Linked DNA regions of Mus musculus. The protein of the gene in region 2 interacts with the protein of the main gene of each other region in a biochemical or structural test. Links are inferred from orthologs where the notes say so. Each region holds a gene or a part of one and is shown on either strand. Other genes may lie near its edges.

Region 1 (4,336 bases), on a different chromosome or scaffold from region 2:
ACCGCCCCAAAGCTCTTGTATGTCATATGTAAAGCAGACAGCTGGCACACAATGGGCAGAAGATGGAATTACTGAATACTTCCTATAGCAACTGAGTAGTTAAGGAACTGGTCCCCCAAAGAGTAGAAAATGCACTAATGTAAACCCATGCTTTCTCTTGAGAGGAGTTGCGTGCCCCCACAGCAGGTTTGAGTATTGCCTTATACACTGCTGTACAATGGGAATAACCTACAGCTCACCCGGACCTGGAAGGCAAATGATGAACTTAGGGTGAGGTACAAAAACCAGGACATAGAAGTAGGGGCCCAAGCTGGACACGGACCTTTTAATCTCAGTGCCCCATGGCAGAGGCAGGAGAATCTCTATGGATTTGAGGTCAGCCTGGTATGAATGGTGAGTTCCAGGACAGCCAGGCCAACATAGAGAACCTGTCTCAAAAAAAAAAAAAAAAAAAAAAAAAAAAGAAAAAAAAGAAAAGAAAAGAAAAGAAGAAAAAAAGAAAGTGGGTCCAGAGAGGCTCTAATGACACAACATTTACCCCACAGGAAGTTGCTCAACTCAACTCAGCTCATCACTGCTCTTCTTACATCAAGAGCTGCAACTAGTGACCCTGGGTGAATAGAATCCCAATCTCAGTCTGTTGTCCTGGGTTGAGATGCCAACGGACTGCTCTAGTAAATAAACTGGCCCATCATTATAACTGAGAAACGTGAGCTACACGAAGCCAACAGAAACTCCGACATGATGTGGCCCATGCCATTGGGGATCTTAGCACAGACGTGTGGGCATGCACTGGGTGTGAAGGTGGGACAACTGCAGCACTTACATCATGATCTGTAAACAACTTCGAGACAAACGTATTAACACACCCACACGTGTGTACCACACAAGGAAACACATTTCTAAAAAATAACACTAGAGAAGTTAAGGCTACCAGTGTCACCAACTTTGGGAAAAGATCATAATCATAGCCACTGCTTTGTGATTTGGAATTTAATGCGGGAATACAGAAATTTCTAGTCTGGCTGGAGCAGGCACTGAGGAGAGGGCATTTCCTTTGACCTCTGTACAGGGTTAAAAACCCACCACTAAAAAAAAAAAAAAAAAAAAAAAAAAACACCACTTGGAAGGAATTTTTAAGTACTCCCTGAATACAAATAACTTGCTCTGAGCTCTGAAGTGTATAAACCCCAAATGATGGATAAGTGTGATTGTTTCTACCTAAACCTTCAATGGTGACTTCAAATGTAGCTACAGGTAAAATAATCCTGGAAGACTGTCAGTAGTATTAGTTAATAAGGACCAGAGAGGAGCGTTATCAGTAAAGAAGAACTAGAAAATGATGCCAGAACTCTGTAGTAACATGTTAGACTTTCAGTATTTAAAAGGTTAAGGGGAAAATGCATAGCATCAACTTAAGAGAGAACAAACACTAAAAGCATTCAGGTCACCAGCCACATGCAAAAATACATCCTTTGAACACTTTATATCAGGAAAAAGCTTGTTTGCTTCTTCTTCTTCTTCTTCTTCTTCTTCTTTTTTTTTTTTTTTTTGCATTAACTTTAAATTAGCTGATACACAAGCCAGAACTCAGACTAAACTTCTGTTTGTTTTCCAAGAATAGCCTCCTTCCCTGTTCTTTTTTTTTTCGGGGGGGGGGTGCGGGGGGGGGATGAGGAGGCTAGCTTTTAAGAGAGAAAGAGAACTGAATCTGCACGCTCTCCGCGTAAATGTCACAAGTGTGCTTCTATATGCCAAGCCAACTGAATGTTGTGTGGTCTTCAAATTATTTGCCAATGTGTCTTTAAAGTTTTGCACTAATCCATTTCTGCCAACCTCCTGGCAACATTTAATCTTTTCCGCAACGAGAAAGGTCCCCCCTAACTTAGTATTGACACTGTCACAAGATATGTATGTACAAATTTCGGCTGTCAAACCTCTTACGGGTGCATTTAAGCGCGCGCTCACTCTTCACAGGCGTGCCTACACTAAGACAGCTCCCCTTTCCCTAGCGCCCACCTACTCATCCCTTCTTTCCTTGCAAGTTTGAAACTTTGTTCTTTCTAGGGTCCCGAAGAAGCGCTACCAACGTCCTAGAGACAAAGGGCTGGGCTGAGGGTTAACAGGATGCCCAATTTCACTTGTGAAACAAAGCCCACAAATCTGAGCCCCTGGAGGAGGTGGTGTAGCCCGGGCAAGCCAAGGACCGGGATCGCCGCAGCCACCGAGCCCCGTGTGCCCCGCTCTGCTCACCGCTTCACGCGGATGATCTGGTCCCGCATGGGCTTGATGTCTTGGAAGCTCTGCTGGTTGACCAAGCTGTAGACCAGGATGAAGCCCTGGCCGTTCTTGATGTACAGGTCCCGCATGGACGCGAACTGCTCGGTGCCCGCGGTGTCCAGGATCTCCAGCACCGAAGGCGAGGAGTCCACCTCGATCTCCTTGCGGTAGAAGTCCTCGATGGTGGGGTCGTATTTCTCAATGAAGGTGCCGGTCACGAACTGCACGGTCAGGGCGGATTTGCCTACCCCGCCCGAGCCCAGCACCACCACTTTGTACTCGCGCATCGTCCCTGCGCGGCCGCCGCCGCCGCCGCCGCCCGCGACATAGACCTGCGCCCGCGCGCCGCGCCCCGACCCCGCGGCCCCGCCGCCCTTACGGACTCGTCGGCTCACGGCCGCGGCAGCGCCCCGGGCGCCGGCAGCGGGGCTGCAGCTGAACGAGTCGTGCGCGGCCCTGTGAGCGGGCCAAGCGGGAGGACGATGCAGCCCCGAGGGCGAGAGCAGCAACAGAGCTCGACCTCGAGCCGGAGCCGCCCGAACCGCGGGCCCGCAATGCCGCCCGCCCCGCCCCTCGCGCCTCCACGCCCAGCTCCCGCCGCCGCTGCTGCCGCCGCCGCCGCCGCTTCCCCAGCGCTGGAGCGCGCGCCCGAGCCCAGCCGCAGCGCTGCCCGGGGCGGAGCCAGCCGGGTGGGAGGGGTCTATAAGAAAGCCCGCCCCTCGCGCCGTCGCCTAGCGACCGTCCGCGCGCTCCAGAGAAGACCGGCTTCCGCGACACCCGGCAACACCCAGCCTGACCGGCCTCCGTACTGCGTCTGCGCGCTCTCCTCCGCCCGAAGGCAGGCAACGTCAGACGCCCACGCTCGGGGGTTTGCGGGAGGTGACGGTGGAGGGACCGTGGGCTTAGGAAGCCGTGCGCACCGTGCTTGGGGACCTCAGGACGGGCCGGCCTATGGCTGACATACATGACTCAGCCTGTCAGCCTTCGGAGAGCTTTGGCTTGATCCCGTTATACGTAACGACGTGAGCCTTAAGGGCCGCCGCCATGAGTTACACAAGCAAATCGAAGCTCGGCTAGTCCGTGGCGCCCAGGCTACACGCAAACCCGGTCCGCGCCCGATGACGTCACCGGCCCGCCCTCTAGCCCCGCCCTTGTCGAGTTTGACGTAAGCCGAGCTCCTCCCCCCGGGCTGGTAGACAGCCTTGGGCGCCTGGAAAACCTGGAGCTCGGATCCGCCCCCCACTGTCGGGAGACCCCAGAACATCTCAGCAACAGCCTGCGGGGGTGTCTGCGCGGAAGCTCGGATTCACTGTAGCCAATCAGATTGTGAGTCCGGACTCTAGACTACCACTCTTGACCAATGAAAAGGCGTCTCATCTTGCTAACCAATTGGTGTAAGACCCAGTGATAGACTGAGCCAACTCCCCTCCGGGGCCTGGAGGGGCTGAGAGTTTGCGCTTGCGCACGGCCTGGTACCCAATCGTAGGCCAACTGAGGAGTGACAGAGGGCTGGGCGGAGCCAATCAAACCTGCACTGTGGAGACAGTGCAGGGCTGCTGGGGAACTGGGAGGGGCAGGGTTCGAGCGCCCGACCCCCTGGTGTTCTGGCACCGGAGCGGGTTGCGTTGGCAGACAAGAGGGATGAGTTCTGTTCTAACGTCGCCTCCGTGGCATTCTGCCTGGAGATGGGCATGGAAGTGGTGGCAGAGGATGCGGGCTGGATCGTGGGCTGAATCGAGAAAACTGGGACTTTTGTCTTCAGGGTGAGAAATTTTCCGGTCCCTCAGGAGACATCCATCTGGCAGCAGTTGCTGTGGTCCTCCGATCATGCCTCCTCAAATGTGTATTTTCTACCCCGTTGTAAACCAGCGTATCTTTGGCCCCCGAATCTTCGTCATACGCTCCCAGCCACAATCGCAAATACATGAAAATTTACACCCTCTGCAATAACTGTTCGTTGCATTTATCTTCATTAAACCATGTCCTTGAAATGACAACTCTAACCATAACTACCTCACACTTTTCAGAAGGCTGTATTTTTTCAGTTCTGTCAGAG
Region 2 (3,805 bases):
GGGTTAGCTGATGACAGTGCCACTAGTGTCTGAAGGGAAGTTCCCTGCGCTGAGGAACACATGACACTCCCACAGGGTCCAGGCCAGGATTGCTTAGGGTCATGAGCCTTCTTGTTACCCACTGACTTCCAGGAATCAGGTCCCCTCTATCCCTTCTCCAGAGGGCAGGAGTAGAGAGAGCCTGAGGTGCAAGGAAGTGAATGTTTCATTTCTGCTTTAGGCTCTGAGAAGCAGTCACATGACCCCCTTCTCCATATAGGCCTCATGATTTGGGGTTCTGTGGATCCCCAGCACTGTTGCAGTACCCCACTCACTCACATGAGGAAGAACAGCCAGCTGGGAACCCCCATGTTACCCAAGAAGTCTCAGCAGCATGAATGAGCAGAAGGGGAAGGAAGTGGCCTCAGATGTGGTCAGCGTCTGCACCTGCCCTAGAGCCATGGTGCCGACTCCAGCACTGGGCTAGAAAGAGCTGCCTGCTGCTGCCTGGTCAGCCTGGAACCTCAGATGGGACAATGAAAGAAGAGTGTGGGTGACCCTGGCCTTGGGTTCTGAGGCCAGTGCCACCTGTGACCATGCTAGGGCCTTGGCATAGGGGATCTGTCATATACACCAGACAGTTTGGCTGCCTCAGCCTCCACTTACCCGTCTCTGAAATGGCTGAATAACAGTACTGTCCAGGTAGACTGTGTTGGGCTGTCCAGTACTAAGTAGGAGCAGGTTCCTGAGATGTTGACCTTAAGGTCGTGAGGAGCCAGGTGGGAAGGGGAGTCCTGGCTCTCCATTTTCTTCGCCCTGGAAGTCCAGAAGCCACCTGTCTGTGCCATGCCCCTATAGCAGACCCCTGATGGCCTGGCCTGGCTCTTGGGCCTTGTCTTTCCAGAGCTCCACGCAGGAGATTGGGGAGGAGCTGATCAACGGGGTCATCTACTCCATCTCCCTGCGCAAGGTCCAGCTACACCAAGGAGCCACTAAGGGCCAGCGCTGGCTAGGGGTAAGTGTGGAGAGGAGACCAGGAGGGTGACCCTGCCAGACTCCTTTCCAGAGTTTTCTGTTTGAGGGCCCCAGTCCCTCTTGCGACTCTGGGCTGAGCCTCCCTCCCTTCCCCAGCCCATGCACAAAGATCCTGCTGACATCCCTACCCACAGGTGAGAAGAGAAGCCATTGGCTTTGCTTCTCATTGCCCATAAGGCCATGCATATTCAAATATTTTGCTCGGTTTAAAAGCTGTCCTCACATGTCACTCCTCCCCTCCCCTGTCCTCTTCCTCCTAGTGTCAGAAATCCTCTCACAGCAGGACTGCCCTTTGCCCTCATTGAATGGAAGTTTAGGCTTTGTAAGCGGTCTGTCTTAGGATTACTTTTTTTTTTTATTTTTATTTTAAACTCTTTTTTTTCCACTTATTTGTTTATTATATGTAAGTACACTGTAGCTTTCTTCAGACACTCCAGAAGAGAGCATCAGATTTTGTTACATATGGTTGTGAGCCATGTGGTTGCTGGGATTTGAACTTCGGACTTTCGGAAGAGCAGTCGGGTGCTCTTATCCACTGAGCCATCTCACCAGGATTACTATTGCTATAAAGAAACACCATGACCAAAAGCAAGCTGGGGAGGAAAGGGTTCATTTGGCTCACATTTTGGCATCCTCATCCATCACTGAAGGAAGTCAGGAGGGGAGAGCTGGAGCCTGGAGGCAGGAGCTGATGCAGAGGCCATGGAGGGGCGGGAGCTCCTGACTGGTTTGCTCCCATTGCTTGTTCAGCCTGCTGTCTCACGAACCCAGGCTCACCAGCCCAGGGACGGCCCCACCCACAAGGGCTGGACCCTCTCCCAGCAGTCTTGTCCACAGCAGGCTTAAGGAGGCATCTCTCAGTTGGGGGCGGGGGGTCTCTTCTCAGATGACTCTAATTTTGTCAGATGTATCAAGTTGACAAAATTCTTCAACATGTATACACTTCTCTGCAACTTGCTGTCTCAGAACAAGTCTTGTGGGTCCCTTGAGCTAAGAAGCTGAGCCTGACCGACTCAGCCACATAACATTCCAGAAGACAGCGCTGATGCCGCCACACGGCCATGCTTCACCACTGTTGCATCCAGCATGATTCTTTCCTGTGGTCATTGAACTTGCTCAGGGAACATTCTGGGTCCACCACCACCCCACCCCCGCCCCCGGAGTAAGCCTGTCTTTCCACCTCTAGGATGGACTGTTCAGTTTGGAAACATCCCCCTCCCACAGAGTATGTTAGAGAATGCTGTCACTCACCTAAGAAACCGCCCTGAAGGGCTCAACACTTCAAACTCTGCTTGAAAATCCAAGACTTTAAAACCAGAGAGAGACCCTCTGTCCCAGTTTGGGCCACATTCTGCTGAGGGTGTCCAGGAGGTGACCCGAGCTCCAGCCTCCAGCGTCCCTGAGAACATGACCCTGCTACTGACCTCGCTCTTCTCCTGTCCCCGCAGTGTGAGAACGAGTCGGCTCTGAACCTCTATGAGACCTGCAAGGTGCGCACGGTGAAGGCTGGTACTCTGGAGAAGCTGGTGGAACACCTGGTGCCTGCCTTCCAGGGCAGTGACCTTTCCTACGTCACTGTCTTCCTGTGCACCTACAGAGCCTTCACTACCACCCAGCAGGTGCTAGACCTGCTGTTCAAAAGGTGAGCACTGCCGCCAGACCCAGGACACCCTTCCTGCCGGCCGCACCTTGGGGGAGCCCAGCTTGGGGATAAGCCTCCTTTCAGGCTCCTGTCAGGGTGGGCTGCCAGGGCCTTCCTCTCCTCAGCCTCAGGTTAAGTGGGTTCCCTACATAGAAAGGAGGGGACCTCAACCTAGAACACAGAGCAAGGACGGCCCTGTGGTAATCGACTGAGAGACCTCAGGTCTGCTGAAGTGCCTCGGTTTCTAAAGCAATCTGCTGTGCGTAGCCATGTTGCCAAGCACCTAACTCTGTGACAGGAGCTGAGTCCCTGCCTCCCTGGGCCCCATTCCCATCAGGGAGTTGACCAGTAACACTAGACATCATAAGCAGGTACGGTAGATGTGACGCCCTCACGGCCTCCTCTAGATATGGCTGCATCCTCCCCTACTCCAGTGAGGACGGCGGACCGCAGGACCAACTCAAAAAGTAAGTAGGCTTTACGTCCAGAGGGGAGGTTTAGGGAACAAGGGTCGAGCAAACTATAGGCCCACACATGTGGTTCCTGATGCTGGGCTAAGGTCTAAGGCTACCCCTGTGTCAGATGGAAGAGGAGGGGTGTGTGTGTGTGTGTGTGTGTGTGTGTGTGTGTGTGTGTGTGTGTGTGTGAAAGAGAGAGAGAGATTGATTGATTGATTCAGAACCAGTCACTGTGAAAATCCTTCCCTAGCATAGCCTGTCTCAATAGACGTGCAGCCTCACTCCTTAAGAATGGGCATTTAGCTGGTCCCTGAGTCCCTCAGGAAAATGCAACCCATACCTGGCTTACAAAGAATAGGTACTGAGGTAACCCTTGCCACTGGTTGAATGGCAGGCCCTTTGGGCATCTCCATTCCAGTAGAGTTGGGCAGGAGTGGGAACCGGGTGAGCCACCATCCCATTGATGAGCCTTTGCTGCCTCCTGTAGGACCCTCTGTAGCCTCTGTCTAGTTACTTGGACAGCCAAAGGGGACTTGTGGGTGGAGGCACACCAGGATGCTGTGGGAGGGTACGAGGAGAGACCATGCCTCTGACTCTGTTGCGTGTCCCCAGTGCCATCTCCTCCATCCTGGGCACCTGGCTGGACCAATACTCAGAGGATTTCTGTCAACCTCCGGACTTTCCCTGCCTC

What was found.
Region 1: the proteins of Ralgds (region 2) and Rap2a form a complex in vitro, tested with the Homo sapiens proteins (2 studies listed by BioGRID). The link is inferred for Mus musculus from reciprocal best matches to the Homo sapiens genes RALGDS and RAP2A.

Annotation. Positions count from the first base shown.
Region 1 is NC_000080.6:120,476,958-120,481,293, reverse strand, and holds the start of Rap2a (ras-related protein Rap-2a), read right to left. Parts: upstream 2,834-4,336; 5' UTR 2,568-2,833; coding exon 2,254-2,567; intron 1-2,253. UniProt on the Homo sapiens protein: Small GTP-binding protein which cycles between a GDP-bound inactive and a GTP-bound active form. In its active form interacts with and regulates several effectors including MAP4K4, MINK1 and TNIK.
Region 2 is NC_000068.7:28,539,828-28,543,632, forward strand, and holds part of Ralgds (ral guanine nucleotide dissociation stimulator), read left to right. Parts: intron 1-883; coding exon 884-994; intron 995-2,462; coding exon 2,463-2,656; intron 2,657-2,954; exon of another isoform or gene 2,955-3,024; coding exon of another isoform or gene 3,025-3,027; coding exon 3,028-3,123; intron 3,124-3,726; coding exon 3,727-3,805. UniProt on the Homo sapiens protein: Functions as a guanine nucleotide exchange factor (GEF) activating either RalA or RalB GTPases and plays an important role in intracellular transport. Interacts and acts as an effector molecule for R-Ras, H-Ras, K-Ras, and Rap.